2 linked regions of the Callithrix jacchus genome follow. The protein of the gene in region 2 purifies or fractionates together with the protein of the main gene of each other region. This does not show direct contact. Links are inferred from orthologs where the notes say so. Each region holds a gene or a part of one and is shown on either strand. Other genes may lie near its edges.

The links.
Region 1: the proteins of NKX2-1 (region 2) and FOXA1 purify together in Homo sapiens (affinity purification with western blotting; 3 studies listed by BioGRID and IntAct, with this or other methods). This does not show direct contact. The link is inferred for Callithrix jacchus from reciprocal best matches to the Homo sapiens genes NKX2-1 and FOXA1.

The regions. Positions count from the first base shown.
Region 1 is NC_133509.1:72,267,194-72,276,591, reverse strand, and holds the start of FOXA1 (hepatocyte nuclear factor 3-alpha), read left to right. Parts: upstream 1-4,078; 5' UTR 4,079-4,352; coding exon 4,353-4,424; intron 4,425-6,797; coding exon 6,798-8,129; 3' UTR 8,130-9,398. UniProt on the Homo sapiens protein: Transcription factor that is involved in embryonic development, establishment of tissue-specific gene expression and regulation of gene expression in differentiated tissues.
Region 2 is NC_133509.1:71,111,882-71,121,369, forward strand, and holds NKX2-1 (homeobox protein Nkx-2.1), read right to left. Parts: upstream 5,708-9,488; 5' UTR 5,605-5,707; coding exon 5,528-5,604; intron 5,094-5,527; exon of another isoform or gene 4,949-5,093; intron 4,850-4,948; coding exon 4,461-4,849; intron 3,506-4,460; coding exon 2,763-3,505; 3' UTR 1,864-2,762; downstream 1-1,863. UniProt on the Homo sapiens protein: Transcription factor that binds and activates the promoter of thyroid specific genes such as thyroglobulin, thyroperoxidase, and thyrotropin receptor. Crucial in the maintenance of the thyroid differentiation phenotype.

The sequences.
Region 1 (9,398 bases), about 1.2 Mb from region 2:
GAAGGAAGGGAGAGAGGAAGGAAGAAAAATAAAAAGGCAGCGAGGGAACCGAGTTCGAACCCTGGCCCGGCCCTTGCTTCTCCTCTCGCGCTGGGGACCGCTGTCTCTCGGGGCCCTGGCCCCTTCCCCACCTCGGCGCACACGTCCAACTGCGAAGGCCAGGCACACGCAACTGTGACCCCTTGTTTCCAGCGTCTCAGGACTTCCTCACTTCTAAGCTGAGCCGGGTCCCAGTCGGGGTCGGCTTTGAACCGTGTTAACGACCACAGGTCTTAGTTTCATTGCATCCGATTCTCCCTTGCAGAAGAAGGACTTAAGCTTCTTATCTGGGTGGGGGGCGGGGGCCCGCGGGGTAAGTCGGACCACCCCACACCAAGCGTGTCTGGGCCGCTGCGGCCGCCACCTGACAACAACCCCGTCCGGGGAAGGGTAGGCAAGGAAAGCGGGAGGCGAGGCAGCCACAGAGGGAAGCTCTGGTGAGACTCCAGTGGGACCGCAGAGCCCCGCAGGCCCGGGTCCTGCTTTCTGCCCACCCTGCGGTCCTGCTAAATGGCAAAGACCCGGTCGCCGCGAGAGGCCGCCGGCTGGGCCAGAGGCCGGAGTCCGCGGCCTTTCCTTCCACCTTCCGCCGTCGTCGCCCTCTGCTTCTCCCTGCCTGGTGAATATCTGCGGAAGGGGCTCCCAGCCAGATTCTGCTGGGAAGTGTAAGCTGAGGCAGCCCAGCGTGGTCAAAGGACCTAGTGCCACCCGGGCACTGCGGGACTGCGCCAGGAGCAGGCCCCACAGGTGTAGCAGGCGCAGCTTCCGGGAAGGGCGGAGCCGCTTCCTCCGCTGGCGGCCACCTGGAGTACCCGCGCACCCTACCGTCCTCACTGCCGCCGCTAACCTCCACTTGAGGAGCCCGCCCTCTCGGCGACCTGGACGGCTCCAGGCTGTTGCAGACCCGTCCCTACCCAGGCAACTTTAGCCTGGGACACGCCAGGAGACGCCAAGTGTCTGCCTTCGTCGGTTCCCTGCCCTGAGTCCACCCAGCCTCCCCAGAGCTGAAGACAGGCCTGGTTTCCTCCAACGAGCAGCACAATCCTTGCAAAGCACAGTTTGCAATAGTGTAGGTGCCTGTTTGGGAAAAGCGGCTGGAAAAGAACAGCCTGCAGCCGCTGGACTTGGCTACCGACTGGCCAGCAATCCAGACAGCAGCATTAATTTATGTATGTATGTATGTATGTATGTATGTATGTATGCATGCATTTCCAAGTCAAAGACCCAATACGACTCTGCTGATTCGCCTTTAAACTTCGGGGAAAGTGACTGGTTGGCATTTGGGTATACTAGAACTTCACCTCCTAAATTTGTTAGGGGTCTTGCAGTGCGCTCACTGAGATGGAGAGAGTCTGGGAGCTGGCCGAACTGTCATCTCTCCTTCCACCTCGGCCTAGGCTCTAAGAACCTAAATTCCTGGCTGTGGTTTGCCTGCGGAGTTCAACCCACTATCGCCTGGCGGTGCTCCCTGGAGTGCCTGCGGAAAATTTCAGCGATCCCTCTCCACAACAGGAGGCGCTGTGTTTGTGGAGAGGGATCCATCCCCACCCCCTACCCCCGCACCAGGCCGCGAACCTGTGATCCCCGAGCTGGATTAAGGCTCTGAAGCTGACAGAGTCCATTCTGCACCACCGGTCTTGGGCTTTGAAGAAGCCTAGGAGAAATTTCGCTCTGGCCATCACGCTATGAACAGTGGATGTTTTTTTCTTAAGTCAGCTTGTTTTCTTTTAAGATTAGACTTAGTAAGTTTGGGAAATGGGCTAAAATAATATTTGATATTGTAATTGAGCCCCCTCCGTAAGGTGACAGTGTTTTTACCCCGCTTAACGCACCAGATTTTTGTGCACCATAAAAGCCATTACTATCTATAAATTGTTACTATTGGTAGAAAATACCCTAGACTTGCTCGATGTTATTGAAGAGCCAAGAGAGTGTTGGAGAATCACCTCCAGAAGGAACAAGGAAGCTCATTAGCACTGAAAGTCCCCCCACCCCCATCAGGCCAAGGAAGCTAAGCATCCGTGTACTTTACAAATGGAACTAAAGTCAGCTGCTGATGGAAACTTTGCACAAAAGCATTAGTTTCTGACACACAATTCGCAGATACATTTACACAAACTGATGGGACAACTTGCAGTTACAGGAGCAGGTTGCAGTAGGGAGGGTTCCTGCCCTACTGAGTTCCAGGTGAAGCTAATTTCATTCATTCCTTTCCTTATGATGTGACATTTCACCCACCACCCTTTTTGAAAAAAAAAAAAAGTTGTAATCCAATGCTTTTATCTTTTTTTATTTCCTTAACTGCACATCTTCACCCTCTCTGCTCCCCTGCTGACTTAAGAGAGTTGTTTGGTTCAGGGACTTAAAGTGATTCTCTTGCCAGATTTCAAGTAAGAGAGATTTAAAAGAACAAAGCACAGGGAAAAAGGTATTTGTTTGGAAGACAAGTTAAAACACATTTCTTAAATTGAGATTAATAGCAGTTTAAAAACTTTGCTAAACAAGAAGATTTTGCGGATTCTTAATTACTTTAGAAAGATTTTATTTTATTGTTACTTAAGGGAACCTAGTGCTTCTACAGGCAGTAGAACACACACAGGGTCACAGACACTCAGAAACTAACACACTCAGTCACACGTGCTCGGAAATACACAAACGATCACACACTCAGAAACACATGCACCATTTCCCAACTTATCACCAAGTCATTGCCTATCACCCAGTCACTTCAGTAGTTCTCTCTGCCATGACAAGTGGGCAATCCGCCACCCACGGCCCCATGAAAGTCAAGAGACTCTGCGTGGGGGAGACTCTCCCACCGACGTCCAGAACCGATTAGGAACCAAGCGAGCCCCTGAGATCCCAGCCCGGTCTCTCCGGTCACAGACAGGATCAAACTCCCCTGCAAGCCATCTCGGGCTTCTGCCTGGAAGCTCTTTCGCAGTGCAGATGCGTTCACGCGCCCGGGCCCTTGCGCTCCCAGCTAATGCGCGTGTTATGGAAGATGTCCCCTCCCCCTGACCTTTTCCTATCAGAAACCAGACGGTCGTCTACAGCTCAGTCCCTGAGGCAGCTGAAGGGGGGCGGGAGGAGGAGCCCGGCAGAGGGAGGACCGCCCGACTTGGGTCCGCCTGCCCTATCCCACAGACATCTGCTCTCAGTTTCTTCCTCTTTATGGTCGCTACAGATGACAAGGGGAGAGGAGCGGACCGAGGCTGGGGGAGAAAAAAAGTTATGTCATAAAGATATAAACCATAAAGGTGACTCACCTGCTCTTAGCCGCAGGTACGAGTTTGTGGCAGCGCCTCCGCTCTGCTAGCCAGGAGCTCAGGTCGGCCTAACGTCATTTGGCTCGGCTGACTCAGATGGTCGGGTTTCTAGTGACGAAGCAAAAGTGGGGCTTTTTTCCCTTTTCTAGTCTGAAGCCCAGAGGAAAGAAAAAAAAAAATATCTGTATTCTCCAGTCTCCTGGGGTTGAACTTTGAGTCAGGAATCAGGAAGGAGGGGGAAGGGAGCAGGAGGGGCGCGAGACTGGGACACAGTCGGAGCTCGGAGGGTGGCCAGTACCTCTGGGGAGGAACCCCGGTGTCACTTAGCCCACAAGGTCTCTAAGCTCGGGCTCCGACGCCACCGCCCCCGGCCTTCTCTGGCTGCGAGATTCCCATCCAGAGTCCTAGCCAGCCTGCCCGGCCCCGCCTATTTTTTTCTTTTTCCAAAGGGGGTTACACCCCCTCCCACCCCATTTCCCTCTTTCCCTAGCCTCCGGGCTTAAACCAATTACACTGCTTTGCAAACAAAGTGAGGGCCGGGCTTGGGGGAGGGGGCTCAGGGGAGGGGGCGCGCGGCCGCAGCGGCGGCGTGGCGGGGCGGGAGGCGCGGCGGCCGGACTGGCAGGCGGCCGCCTTGCAGGTGCACCTCGGGCTTTGTAGGTGCGAGCGTCTTTGTGCGGCGGACAAATGGGGAGAGGACGAGGAGGTGGGCACTCGAGCGACGTAAGATCCACATCAGCTCAACTGCACTCGCCTCGCAGAGGCCGCCCGCTCACTTCCCGCGGAGGCGCTCCCAGGCGCCCCGCTCCGCGGCAGCCGCCTGCCCCCTGCGCTGCCCCCGCCCGCGGCGCCGCCGCCGCCGCCACCGCGCACGCCGCGCCCCGCAGCTCCGGACTTGCTCTTCGCCCGGGTGGCGTTGGGCCGGCGCGGGCGCTCGGGTGATTGCAGCGGCTCGGCTCCCCTCCCCCGCCCCGCGCCGTGCAGCGCGGCCGCCCGTCGCTTCGCACAGGGCTGGATGGTTGCGTCGGGCTGGGTGGCTCCAGGATGTTAGGGACTGTGAAGATGGAAGGGCATGAGACCAGCGACTGGAACAGCTACTACGCGGATACGCAGGAGGTGAGAGACTAGGAGAGGCGGGCGGCGGGCAGGGACCCCCTGGAGCCCGTGTCGGGGGAGGCCGGGGAACGGTGGGTGCCGGGCAGGGCAGGCAGGAGGGCCGGGGGAGCCTCCTCGGTGCCACCGCTACCTGCCCGCTGATGTGGCCCCGGCCGGGCCTCGGCCGGGCCTGGAAGCGGGACCTGCTGCCCTAGTCTGTCCCGACTCTCGCAGCCGGCGAGAGAGTTTTAGGAAACTCCAGGCTTTGAAAACAGCGGCTCTGGGAAGCGCTTGCCTCTTCCCAGCGGAGAGGGGGAGCGGGAGCCGGGCCCAGGGTGTCGCTGGCGGGAGAGCGCGGGCGCGAGTTAGAAGCAACTCTAAGAAAGCCGGAGCACGCCCGCAAGGCGACCTCTTCCTCCCGTCGTTTAATTCAAAGACCTCTTCTAATTAAAGCGCCCTGCAGCCAAGTTGAGTGTCTCAATAATGAAACGATTTCTAAATTTCGTAAAACTTGTTCTTCAAAAGCCCTGTTTGGGGAGTAGTGTGTTTCTTTTTCTCTAAAACCGCTGGGTGGCGCTAGTGCGACCAGCATCTTCTTTAGAACTCCGGGCCCAGAACCTGTTTCTCTTCATTGTTCCCTTAGTGGCACGTTCTTGGGGTTTATTTTACAATGTGCATAAAAGGATTACAGGGAAAACCAGGTACAGGCAGAACTGCCACCTATTAAAAGTATTTTTGTGGAAACAGCTGGCGATTACCCCCCAAAAGTTTACCGTTATTGAAAACCCGTATTGGAACTGCCTGGGATAATTTTGGGAAGAGAGAAAGAAAATAAAACCCCAAGGTAAAAAATACTTCTAAGACGTGGACAGAAAAATATAGAATCAGGTAATATTTTGATGGTAACTAATTTATTTAGATTCATATATTCACAAATTTACCTCTGAGTTTATTTGCATACCATAGTTTAGTGGGTGTTCCTATTTAAATCTATTCTCCTGTTTTCAAAAGGGCTCATATTTGCTGATGAAAGTAAACTTAAGGACGTAATTATTCCTTATTAAATTATTAGAGGAGTACTTTTTAACATCCCTAGGTTCTGTATTTTTAAAATACTATACCTAATGCTTCCCCACATTGCTATGGATAAGGATTTTCGCTTGTTGATGATTTTAAAAAGAGCTCAGAGGTCTCAGAGGTTTAATTCTGATGTAGTAATCTCGACCCCACCATTCTATCAAGACCTCTATCGAAAAGTGTTTTCTTACATGTTAAAGCTGAGAATTAGCAAATACAATAGCATTAAGAAAAAATAAGTAGAATTTGATTTTAGAATTTTAAATTATTCAAGACTACTCACGGAGTTTCAAAATCCAGGCATTGAAATCATCATCAGCAATATATCAATATGGGGAAAAAATGATTTGTTTTGACAAACTGTGTCACCAAATTTTTCAAACAGGGGACTGTGAAGTGGTGACAAAATTAATGCAAGTTTCTGAATAGCTTGCAGAGGTGTACAGGTAAAGTCACGTTAAAATCAAAAGTATATAGCACGTTGAAATTATTATGGCACCCTCTCCCAGCCCTTTCTGTTTTTAGTTTTATTTTTCCAAAACTTATTTAATTTCTGAGTTTGCTTCCCTTTTAACATTACAGTTGCTACAGGTAGGTAGAAAACACTACTTCTAAATATGATAAACAACAAAAAGTCACCAAAGGCAATAAACTCCTAGGACAGTAAAGCCAGTTGTAGGGAAATAAATGATTCAGGGGGTCCCACGTCCATAGATGATTTGCTCTATCAGGGAGTTTCATTAACAGCCTCCTAGAACAACCGAAACCGCTGTGTGGTCAGCCAGGCCTACAGACTCAGGCGAAGAGGGCGTGGAGTTGGTGGTTCCCTGTGGTCCACCCCAGTGGGCTTGTGACGTGGAACCCATTGCACCCTAAGGGTGAAGTGAATAAGCGGAGGGTCAGAGATTAATTCTATTTTTGGAGTTTTAAAGACGATTTGCCCCAAAGAGCTCTTTGCTGAGGCTGGTTGGGGTGGATACTTAGGATACCGCCCGGTGTGGATGGAGGAGGCGATGAAGGGGTCCTGGAAGCCAGCCCCTGAGCCTGGCATGTAAGGCGATTACACATCTTCCTGGGGACATACTTTCTGTGAGCGCTTATCTTTTCGTGCCTGCCATGCTAGGATTTTCCCCGTGCTGTGCGAGACGCCTTTGCTCAGTCTGGGGAGGGCGCCTAGCCATTTTCCCGGGTGGGGGTGTCTCGTGTTCTGCAGAAATGCTCTGCACTTGCCCCCGTGTTCGCTGCGGGCGGCAGCCCTCCTGCGCCCACCACTAACCCCGCCCTCCGGGGCCTCTTCACTCGCTGTCTCCGCTCCAGGCCTACTCCTCCGTCCCGGTCAGCAACATGAACTCAGGCCTGGGCTCCATGAACTCCATGAACACCTACATGACCATGAACACCATGACCACGAGCGGCAACATGACCCCAGCGTCCTTTAACATGTCCTATGCGAACCCGGGCCTGGGGGCTGGCCTGAGTCCCGGCGCGGTGGCCGGCATGGCGGGGGGCTCGGCGGGCGCCATGAACACCATGACGGCAGCCGGGGTGACGGCCATGGGGACGGCGCTAAGCCCCGGCGGCATGGGCGCCATGGGCGCGCAGCCGGCAGCCTCCATGAACGGCCTGGGCCCCTACGCGGCTGCCATGAACCCGTGCATGAGCCCCATGGCGTACGCGCCGTCCAACCTGGGTCGCAGGAGCGCGGGCGGCGGCAGCGACGCCAAGACGTTCAAGCGCAGCTACCCGCACGCCAAGCCGCCCTATTCGTACATCTCGCTCATCACCATGGCCATCCAGCAGGCGCCCAGCAAGATGCTCACGCTGAGCGAGATCTACCAGTGGATCATGGACCTCTTCCCCTATTACCGGCAGAACCAGCAGCGCTGGCAGAACTCCATTCGCCACTCGCTGTCCTTCAATGACTGCTTCGTCAAGGTGGCGCGCTCCCCGGACAAGCCCGGCAAGGGCTCCTACTGGACGCTGCACCCGGACTCCGGCAACATGTTTGAGAACGGCTGCTACTTGCGCCGCCAGAAGCGCTTTAAGTGCGAGAAGCAGCCGGGGGCCGGTGGGAGCGGGGGCGGAGGCACCAAGGGCGGCCCTGAGAGCCGTAAAGACCCCTCGGGCGCCGCTAACCCCAGCACCGACTCGCCTCTACACCGGGGGGTGCACGGAAAGGCTGGCCAGCTAGAGGGCGCGCCGGCCCCTGGGCCCGCCACCAGCCCCCAGACTCTGGACCAGAGTGGGGCGACTGCGACAGGGGGCGCCTCGGAGTTGAAGACTCCAGCCTCTTCATCTGCACCCCCCATAAGCTCCGGGCCCGGGGCGCTGGCCTCTGTGCCCCCCTCTCACCCAGCACACGGCCTGGCTCCCCACGAGTCCCAGCTGCACCTGAAAGGGGACCCCCACTACTCCTTTAACCACCCGTTCTCCATCAACAACCTCATGTCCTCCTCGGAGCAGCAGCACAAGCTGGACTTCAAGGCATACGAGCAGGCACTGCAGTACTCGCCTTACGGCTCTACGTTGCCCGCCAGCCTGCCTCTTGGCAGCGCCTCAGTGACCACCAGGAGCCCCATTGAGCCCTCAGCCCTGGAGCCGGCATACTACCAAGGTGTGTATTCCAGACCTGTCCTAAATACTTCCTAACCCCCCGGGACTGGGGGGTTCGTCTGGCATGGCCATGCTGGTAGCAAGAATGAAAAAATTCAACAGCAAACAAAACACAAACCAAACCGACAACAGCATAATAAAATCCCAACAACTATTTTTATTTCATTTTTCATGCACAACCCTTCCCCCAGTGCAAAAGACTGTTACTTTATTATTGTATTGAAAACTCATTGTGTATATTACTACAAAGACAACCCCAAACCAACCATTCTTTTCCTGGGAAGTTTAATGATCCACACGTGTATATATAAAATTCGCCTCCTTCCTTGCCCCCCTCCCTTTCTTCCCTCTTTCCCCTCCAGACAACATTCTAGTCTGTGCAGGGTTATTTAAAACAAAACAAAACAAAAAAGGAAGATGGTCAAGTTTGTAAAATATTTGTTTGTGCTTTTCCCCCCTCCTTACCTGACCCCCTACCAGTTTACAGGTCTGTGGCAATACTCTTAACCATAAGAATTGAAATGGTGAAGAAACAAGTATACACTAGAGGCTCGTAAAAGTGTTGAAAGACAATACTGCTATGTAGCAAGACATAAACAGATTATAAACATCAGAGCCATTTGCTTTTCAGTTTACATTTCTGATACATGCAGATAGCAAATGTCTTTAAATGAAATACATATATATTGTGTATGGACTTGATTATGCACATGCTCATATGTGTAGACATCCTTCGTATATTTACACAACATATAGAGGTAATAGATAGGTGATATCATGATGCATTCTCAAGAGTTACTTGACTGAAAAGTTACAAGGACCCCAACCCCTTTGTCCTCTCTACCCACAGACTGCCCTGGGAATCAATTCCTCAGGAATTGCCCTCCAGAACTCTGCTTCTTGATTTGCAGAGTGCCATCCATGGTCATGTCATTCTGAGGTCACATAATGTGTAAAATTAGCTTCTATGGGTGTGTACCATTTAAAGAATATTTTCTTCCAGAAAAATGGAATATTATGATGTTGGAGGAGAGATAAGTTATAGGGAGCCGGATTTCAAAACGTGGTCCAAGATTCCAAAATCCTATTGATTGTGGCCATGTTAATCATTGCTATCATGTGCTTGTTTCATCCAGTGTTAATGCACTTTCCACAGTTGGACATGGTGTTAGTATAGCCAGACGGGTTTCATTATTATTTCTTTTTGCTTTCTCAATATTAATTTATTGCATGGTTTATTCTTTTCCTTTACAGCTGAAATTGCTTTAAATGATGGTTAAAATTACAAATTAAAATGTTAATTTT
Region 2 (9,488 bases):
TGATGGAAACCCCATCCAGTGCAAACGTGATTAAGACCCGGGGTACCACAGCTTACTAAAATAGTGGTTCCCAAGGGCTGGCTCCTGGCTAGAATGCGGAGCTGGGCAGCCGCCCGGACCACAGCTGGGAACCACCAGCTCGGTCCCCGCCCGGGCTTGGGCTAGGCTGGGGCAGGTTAAGTGAAGCTCCAACCCTGTGGGATCCGGACCTAGAGCCAAACAGCAGCTCCAGTATCCACGTCCCCGTCCGCCCGCCTGAGCTGGATGCCTTAGCCTCTCCTGGAACCATGGCTGGCCATTCCAAAGCAAGTGGTCAAACTTTACGGGTTTTTGTTTACTTGTTTTCCAAAATGGGAGACTTGCTAAAATCTCCCTTCCCAGCCTTCCAACCAGGACACTCACTAGACCCAACTCTCCTCTTTGGAGTCTTCGAGTCCCTCTGGATATTGAAAACCGTGTCTCTGCAGTCAGGCCCAGGTTTCTGAGGGAGAAAGCCGGGCCTAGCCCCCAGTCTTAAGGCATCACGCCAGAAGAGCCTCCAGGAAGTCAACAAAGAGGTCTGCTAGGTCCAGAGCGAGGACTCTGGCCAGTCTACTTTCCTAACAAGCTCTTGGTGGGGTATCTGGAGGGAGGGCTTGGGAAGAGATGAAGACAATGAAATGAAAGAGGAGAAGAGAGGGACAAGAAAAAGAAAGTTGAAAATCTAGGTGAGAAGTGAATACATGCCAAATAAGAATCAATTGCCCATAATCCAGTACTTCCAGGCCTAGAGGAAAGTACTGGGAAGGGCATATGCCGCAGCTCCCTCAGCAGCCTTTCCCCCCACCCCGATGATTTAGCAAGAGTGACCCAGAAGGAGCAACAGCCCATCCAGGGACTGCAATTTTTTTCTGTGTTCAAACCATTCCTTTTTTCCTCCCTCTCATCCCTAATAGAGCTCCCAACACAAACACTGAACGCTGAGGAGACCCAGAAATTAGAAGTCAGAAGAAAGGAATAAAAAATGATTGTTTTTTTTTTTTTTGCTTGGAGTGGGAGGTAGTGGCCAGGAGGTGAAGAACTGGAAACAGGAGAAAGATTCATTGCTACAAAAATTTAGGAACCCAAATATTAAAAAAAAGAAAAAGGTGCAATAAAGAGTGAAATCTCAGCTCCTGAAGTCCTTCCTGGGACATCCTCAGGCCTGTCACGCAGTTTTACTCCATTGGAGGCGAAAGGAGCCAAAAGCAGCAGGGGCTGGGGTGTCTGCTGCTGGTCCCGGAGAGGACATCCCTGTTTCAGGGCAGAAACAGAATCCCAGAATAATTTCCTCACTTTCCAAAACAGCCTCCCACCGAATTCTGTGAAGGAGCTCGGCTGCGGAATAAAGGTTCAATGTTCAAATCTATAGAGATGATCATTCACTAAAAACCAGAACTCATTCAGAGTTCTTTAAAATGGTTGTCTTCTCTCACTGTTTTAAAAGGTTGGCTCAGCTTTGTGAGACCACAGTAGACAGTACACAGTTCTGAAGCTCCTATCAACAGAAGTCTGATTCTGAAAATGAATCTTTTGGTTTCTTTCTCTTCCTCTCCCCATCTCCTGCTTGGTGGAAGTAGTTTGGCATTTCTGTCCTCCACTGCAGTCTCAGGACTGCTCAAGATTTGGTTCCACACAGTTTCTGAGGCAAAACAAAACTCCCTTTTCCCGTGGGGCAAGGACTCTAGGCCTGGCCTCTTTGCTTCCTTAACCGGTTCAGAATCCTTTGAACTCAAACCCAAACAATTTGAATCTCATCAGACCAAAGACAAGATCCTCCCAAGCCGCTCCCCCACCCAACCAAAAGCCATTTAAAGCCAAATCAAAACCAAACAAAAAGGAGGGTTTTAATCAGAAAAAGAATCTTTTTAATTTGTATAATTTATTAGAAGCTTCTTAGGAACTATATTTAAGCCAAATATCTACATAAGTTACAACAGAAAAAGACTGACGCCGCAAATACCAAACTGCCAAATAATATACACAGATTTGTCAATGCCCATAAAAAATGTGAAGGGCTGGGGACTGGGAGTGGTTTTTCTTTTTACAACAAATGTACAGATTACTAAAACCTAGGCATTTAGTCCAACTTTTGACAGCGTTTTACAGCTACAAGTTCACATCAAACATAACAGTTTTCGCGGAGGGACGGTCGTGGCTGAGCCTAGGCGGCCCGAGGGCGCCGGGGAGGGGGCACTTCCTTTGTGTCAGTGACAAGTGGGTTGTGTCGAAGACTCTGCTCTCCCCAGCTCCCGTCCTCCCTTCTTTAAAAAAAAAAAAAAAAAAAAAAAATCCTGGTATTTACAAGCGAGAGTCCACTTTGCTGGCAGAGTGTGCCCAGAGTGAAGTTTGGTCTTTAGAGTCCAGAGCCATGTCAGCACAGAGCCCTCTCCAATCTGTGCCCTGCCCTAGGGTGGGAAACCCATTTGAATCACCAAAAAAGACACCCCCAAAGTTGTTTTATGCCTTTCTCTGCTTAAAGATTCCTTAAGAAATTGGACGCGCTTGGTTGTTTTTATTTTCTTTCTTTCTTTTAAAAAAAACACACACACAAATTTTAGGATCAAAAACAGAAAGACGTCTAGCAGTTTGGCTTTTGTGTTTTGTTTGTTCCGTGGTCTAAACGCGGTCAGGTTCTTAAGAAAAGTCGAAGCGTGTGGAGCAACGGCGGATGGTGGTCTGTGTGGCGAGCAGGAGGGAAGCGGTGAGGCAGAGCGCTGGGCTAGGGCCGGCCCGGCGTCCTCTCACCAGGTCCGACCATATAGCAAGGTGGAGCAGGACATGGTGCCGTAGTCCGAGCCCGAGGAGTTCAGGTGGGACAGGCTGGAGACCTGGCCCTGCAGCGCCGCGGGGCTGGCGGCATGGTGCGCCAGGTCCGGAGACTGGCCTGCACTGCCCGGCTGGTGGCCCGGGTGTGCACCAAGGCCGCCGCCACCGCTGCCCACAGAGATGGCAGCTGCCGCCGCCTGCGCGGCCTGCGCCTGCTGTTGCGCCTGTTGCTGCGCGTGGCCTTGTAGGCTGGCGGCGCCCGGCGCGGGGGCACCCGCCTGGCAGGGTTTGCCGTCTTTCACCAGGACCGGCACGGCCACACGGCGTGGCGACTGCTGCTGAGCCTGTTGCTGCTGCGGGCACCCGGCGCCCCCGCCGCCCCCGCCGCCGCCGCTGTCCTGCTGGAGTTGCTGCTGCGCCGCCTTGTCCTTGGCCTGGCGCTTCATTTTGTAGCGGTGGTTCTGGAACCAGATCTTGACCTGCGTGGGGGTCAGGTGGATCATGCTGGCCAGGTGCTCGCGCTCTGGCGCCGACAGGTATTTCTGTTGCTTGAAGCGTCGCTCCAGCTCATACACCTGCGCCTGCGAGAAGAGCACCCGGCGCTTCCTGCGCGGCGCGCTTGGCAGCGGGGCCATGTTCTTGCTCACATCCCCCAGCGAGCCCAGGCCGCCCATGCCGCTCATGTTCATGCCGCTCGCCGGGCCCATGAAGCGGGAGACTGTAAGCGACAAACGCACAGCGTCGGCCGGGGCCAGGCCGGGCCAGGCCACCCCAGTTTTCCGCGCCATTGGCCGGCCCGGCCCGGCCCGACCCGACGGCGCCCTCCTGACCCAGGCAGCCTAGCGCTCGGCCCCAAGAGGCCCATCCTCGGGGGACCTCCAGCATCTGCCCCAGGCGGTGCCGTCGAGGGCTGCACTGGAGCGCTCACAGCCCCAACCCTGGCTGCCCACCCTCAGTCTCAGTTCCCTCTTTCGAACCAATAGGCGCAGTGGGGAAAAGGCCGCTTCTGCTGCTTTAGTGCCTGCCCAGCCCGGGTCAGAGCAATGGGATTAGCTGGCCACAGGCGGCGAACTGGGCTCAGGCCGGGAGCTGGGGTCCCACGGTAGACCCCAATTTGGAGAGGTTAGGAGAGGGGGTGTTGACTTCCAAAAGCTGGAGCCCCCAGATGATTTGCCTTTTGGCTTCTCTCCTGTCGGCCCCAGTGAGGGCACCTGCTCAGCCCCTCAGAGTCCCCTCCGGAACTGCAAGTCTCCCACCTGCCCAGACTCCTCTAGAGAGAGGGCCGGGGTGGGCGCTCGAGTGCCTCCCAACAGGGCAGCCTCCCTCCTGGCCGGGCCTGGCCTCTCCGCGCTCTGCTCCCTGAGCTCGGGGTCGCTTCCCTGGGCTCCCCTAGGTCTTCTGAGCGGAGCAGAACTGCCAGTCCACCGCGCCTAAGAGACACCGAGTACCCGCATCTGACCGCAGGACCCCAGCGCTACCAATTGCCTGTTCTTGGACCCCCAGACGGGCAGGGGGAAGTATCCCCAGCTCCCACACCCTAGTCCCTGGCGCCGCTCCCGGGCCGCCCACCCTGATGCCTAGCGCGTAGCCTGCCCGGGCCGCGCCTTCTGGACGGCTCTTGCTGCACCTCCTGAGCTCAGCCCGCGGCCCCGCAGTGGGGCGGCCTCACTTACTGGCGGCGGGGAAGCGCGGGTCTGGGTTGGCGCCGTACCATCCGGGGCCAGAGGCGCTGTTCCTCATGGTGTCCTGGTACGGCGGCAGCTCGCTCATGTTGCCCAGGTTGCCGTTGCAGTAGCCCCCCACCGCGGAGTGCGAGAGCTGGGGCACCCCCGCTGCCGTCATGTGGTAGGCGGCGGTGACGGCGCCGTGGTGCCCCACGGCGTGCTGCTGCATGGCCGCGGCCGGCGGTGCCGCCTGGCCCTGCCTGTACGCCGCCAGCGGAGCCCCGAGGCCGCCGCCCTCCATGCCCACTTTCTTGTAGCTTTCCTCCAGGGGACTCAAGATGTCAGACACTGAGAACGGAGTCGTGTGCTTTGGACTCATCGACATGATTCGGCGGCGGCTGGAGGAGGAAGGAAGAGGAGGAAAAAAAAGGGAGAGGGGGAAGGCGAAGCCTTGCTGCTTTTTTTTTTTCTCCCTTTGCCAAATATTCTGGTGTTACCTTAACGCCGATCTTGTTGGATGTACACGTAACGGAGTGGACCGAGTCCTCCTTAATTGGCTTGAGTGGAGGCTCGGGGGCTGCCTCGCGTTTGTTTTAGCCCGGCGCCAGGTTTTAGGCAGCCACCAGAGGCGGGGCGTAAGCGCTAAAGCAACAAGACAATAGAAGCCTACATCTTGCCCGAGATAATTAGCTTACATGCTGATGACAAGGTAAACACCTTTAAGTTTCCCTTGTCAGGATTTTTAGGTCTCAGAGAGAGAGAGGCAGAGACGAGACCCAAAGCATTTCCCCCCTCCCTTAGACACCCCCACCCCCATTTTTTGTGGGGTACCAGCGGCGCGCGGGGAGGAGGTGGAGAGGAGGGGAAGGAGGAGGGAACCGAGAGCGGGGAGGGCAGGAGGTGGGGTGGAGGAGTAACATAGGAGGAGAGATGGTTGGGAGGAAGGAAGGTAAATGCTGCTTTGCAACCAACTTTCGGAGTTACAAAGTGGAACCACTTTCCTATTCGGTCGGGGTTCTCCGGGCGGGGACAGGTCTTTAGGAGGAGGGGGCAGAGGGACGGGGTGGGGGTTTCACCTGAGCCTGCCGGGGCTGCTCCTCCCTCCCGCCGCGGCCTCCCAGCCCCGCGCCTTCCCACTGCTTCCGGACCACATCGGGCTTCGCTGCGCTGAGCCCCAGTCGCCACCAAATGAGCGAGCGAGTCTGGGGACGAACCCTGGGGCTGCACCGTTGGTCTACGTGTCTGTCAGTCTGTCTGCTTCTCTTCTGCCGCCGTCAGAGGGACACCTCTGCTCCCCGCCCCCTTTCCCTCTACCCAAGAGACTCCGAGCGGGCGGAGGGGGCGCTGAGTAGGGGATCGACTGCCTCCCGGAGGCTGTCCCGGATCCCCAAGCCACCACCCGCCCCCACAGCTCAGGGGTTTTTCTGTGGGCCACCACCCCCAACACGCCTCCCCCCAGGTCTTTCCCCACCCCCACCCCCGGCCGAGCAAACACAGCACTGGCCCCTTGAGCTGGGAGCATGGGAAGGGGTCTAACCGGAGGGTCCGTCACTGAAGTTGCCCCACCTCGAACAAACCTGATGTCCCTGACCCTCGCCCATCTCCCAGACACGCGGGGTTCTGGGGCTGGAGTTGACTTTCCGAGGACATCACAGCCCCAGCACCCGAGCCCAGAGCCACGCTGTTTTCCCCTCTGATGCTTCAGGGAGAGCGCAGGCAGGGAGCGGCGTGAGTGCCGGGGGTCAGTCCGTAGCGGGTCGGAACCGAGCCTGAACCCCGGCTGCTGGAGCGCTGGCCAGGAGGGGGCGAATGCCGAGGTACAGGCAGCCCGGCGGGCGGGAGGCTGGGCTGAGGCTCGCCTCTGCCCGGAGCTCAGCCATGCAAAAGTGCACTTGCTTCCCAGGAATAACCAAATATCTTTGTTTAAAGTGGTGGCGTAAATGGCCAGTCGCTTTGTGGCCACGCTGGATATTAGTAGATGAGGATCATTCTGCTTCAATTGGGCGCCTCTCATCCGACGAGCAAGAAACTGCTTAGGAGGAAGTGGGTTTCCTGTCTGCGCGTTCCCAGGCTTCAAGTGTGGGCCCCGCGCCTTGAGGGTCCTTGGGCGCCTGGCGAGGGGGAGCTGTGGGCTGCGCTCCCCAGCGGGGTCGGGGGCGTCCCCCACGATACTCCGGCCAGGCCGGGGCCTGTAGCCTAGTCGACTACCGAGTGGAGCCTTGCACCGCGAAGATTTTGAGACCGACTCCGGTTTTTGTCCTTGTATTTTAAACGCTTTTATTGTTGTTGTTTGGCTTTCTCTTTGGCTGTTTTAGCCTCCTCTCCGCGCCAGGGGCTGGGAGGGCGGAGTGCTCCCCGGCCGAGTCTGGCAGGTGCCTCCAAGACACCCGCACCGGCCAAGGAGCTTCTTCCAATTTTAGTATATGTGTTGCCGAAGGGATCACAAGGAGCTTCTTAAATTTCTTGTTTTCACATTTTCTCTCCCTTCCGTGTAGAAAGGGAGTTCCTGATGACGAACAGGCAGTTTTGAGCTACTTAATTCATCCAGGTTCCTTTTATTATTACTATTATTAATAGCAAGTATAGTACAGAAAGTTTAGTTTTTAAAGATTTTAGCCCTCTCCTTGAAGAGTGCTCTGTACTCCCTCAATATAAAGCCAACGTCTATACTAACATTCTCATTTCTCACCGCCTACCTTCCTTACCAGCGGAAAGAAAGCGCAGGGCACCTATCGCCCTCCCACCTGGACCCGCGTTTCCGTGACGCCCCCATGGCAGTGCTGGGGAGAACACCCTGCGTTTGCGCAGGGAGACGCGCTCGCCGCTTGTGTTGCGAAAGACCAGCGCGAAACCCTGCGGCTTGCTCTTCCTTCCCAGGGGGTTCTCTGGGGGGCGCTCTCAGGACCCGACGAACTGCGCCTTGGTCACTGTGGTGTCTAAGCAAGGAGGGGAGACGACGCTGGACTTAAGTGAACCACAGAGAACTGGCAACGCTGAATACAGACCTTGTTTGCAGGCTCGACCCGGGCGGGCCTGAGTCCCGAATGGGGTCTGATTGCGAAGGCGGGGTGGGTTTCCCAGTTACCCAGCTGCTTTCTCTCACTTGCCATTATTTTATAGTTGGTAAATTTAAGAAACACCAAGTGTAGAAGGCTGTACATCTCTCCAAGTCTCAACGCCATTTAGAAGTGGAGATCACTCTTCACAAGGTTTTTGTGAAATTCAAGTAAGATGGAGCACATCAAAGTGCTTTGAAAGCTTTGAATGTTTTTCAGCTTGGTGCCAGCACTGGAGATTGCCGTAGTTATTATCATGATTATCCCCACCCCCTCTTTAGGTCCCCAGACTTGAGTAAGAGTTGGATGAATCTTCCACAGCCTCCTGTCTCCTCGGACTTCGTCCCTTGGCAGCTTTTCAGCCTCTCAGCAGGTCAGAGGTGCATGTGGCTGGCAGCTCTCTGGCCTCCGGCTGGGAGAGTCCCAGGGCAACCAGGCCTGCAGCTCTGGAGGAAGCCCCCGCCCTGCCGTTCAGGACCAGTAACCCCCTCCCCAGAACCGCGCAGCAGGTGGCGAGTCTGGGAGCTGAACAGGAGCGCAGCTCGGAGTGGCTGGGGCGGGCAGACTCCCGCTTCCCTCTGGGATGCAACTGGAACTGCGCTTCAACCTCTGTCTGCAGGCGTGCTTCTCGCGCTCTCCAGCAAGCTCTCGTCTTCACCTCGCCTGGGCCTTTGCAGAGCCCTGCCGCCCAGGCTCCAGCGCCTTTCCTACCCCAGCCCCCTCTCAACACGCGGCTGTGCCTTCTTCCCCAGGACTGCTGCACCGCCAAGAATAAGCCCGGAGACTAAGGCGCCTTGTGGGGAAGAGGAGGATATCTGTATCCCCGAGCTTATCCAAGCAAAGGCCTTGAGAGTCCCTCCCATGGCCCGAAACACCTCCTTCTGACCGAGGAGCATTCTTTCTTTCCGCCTGGAGGGGTCTCGCAGGGCCCCCTCTGCACTGCTTTCTCAGGCACCATCGGACTCATCCTAAATAGGGCAGACCCGGGCTAAACCAGTATTTTTTTTTCCATGAATACGAAGAACCCCAATTCCACTTCTCAAAGTCTGCGTGTCTTCCTTTATTCCACAACTAACTCGTTCCTGGGTGGAGTGGGCACAATGGGGAGCGATCGGGGCAGGGCAGTGCCCAACACTGGCCCCTCGCGGAGCTTTCCCTGACGCGGCCTCACACGGTCGCTGCCTCAATTCCGACCACACTCTGCTTTGCTGGCTGGGGCTCGGCCGGGAATACGAGGGGGCGCAGGCCCAGGCTCAACCCTAGACGCGCGGAATCGCCATCAGCCTTTGCCCCCACCAGCGTGGCCACGGGGACACTCCCTTCTCTCCCTCCAGTGTCACTTTGTGAGACAACAGAGGGTCATACAGAAGGCTAATTCGGGGTCTGTAGCTTGGACTTGGTGGAACTGTGAAGAGGAACCACCTGTCTCACCGCCCCACCCCGCAACTGATTTTTCTTAACTCCCTTTGCAGTCCTTCTCTGAGGCCCGAGCGACTCTGTCTCCTGGTAGTGTTATTTTTCTCCGAGTTTTTTCGCAACTTATGATTCGCTCAACACTATTTATTTAGCTCGGGCTCTGTGCCAGGGAATGTGCTAGGCCTGAAAATTCATCCTTAATCTAGATCCAACTCCTACTCACACGGAGTTTACACATTCACAATAAATCACCCAAATAATATGTAGTTACTTTCAGATAGATGTTACTGCAGGGTCCAATGAGACAGAGAGGGTTGTAATGGAGGTTTGTGTGTGGGTTTCGGCACCAATTCCTAATCTCCCAGCATTCTAAGGTCGTGAGAGGAGCCCTTGAGTAAAGTCAGAAGTCCTAGGTTTGAACCTTGGCTTTGCCACTTTCCAGCTGTGCAGTCCCGCTCTTGTGGGCTCCCGCCACACCCTGGAGTCACTACCATCACAGCCAGAGTAAACCAGTGTGTGTTTTCTGGCTCCTCTCCTTGAGGGTGAGCCCCTGTTTTATCTATCT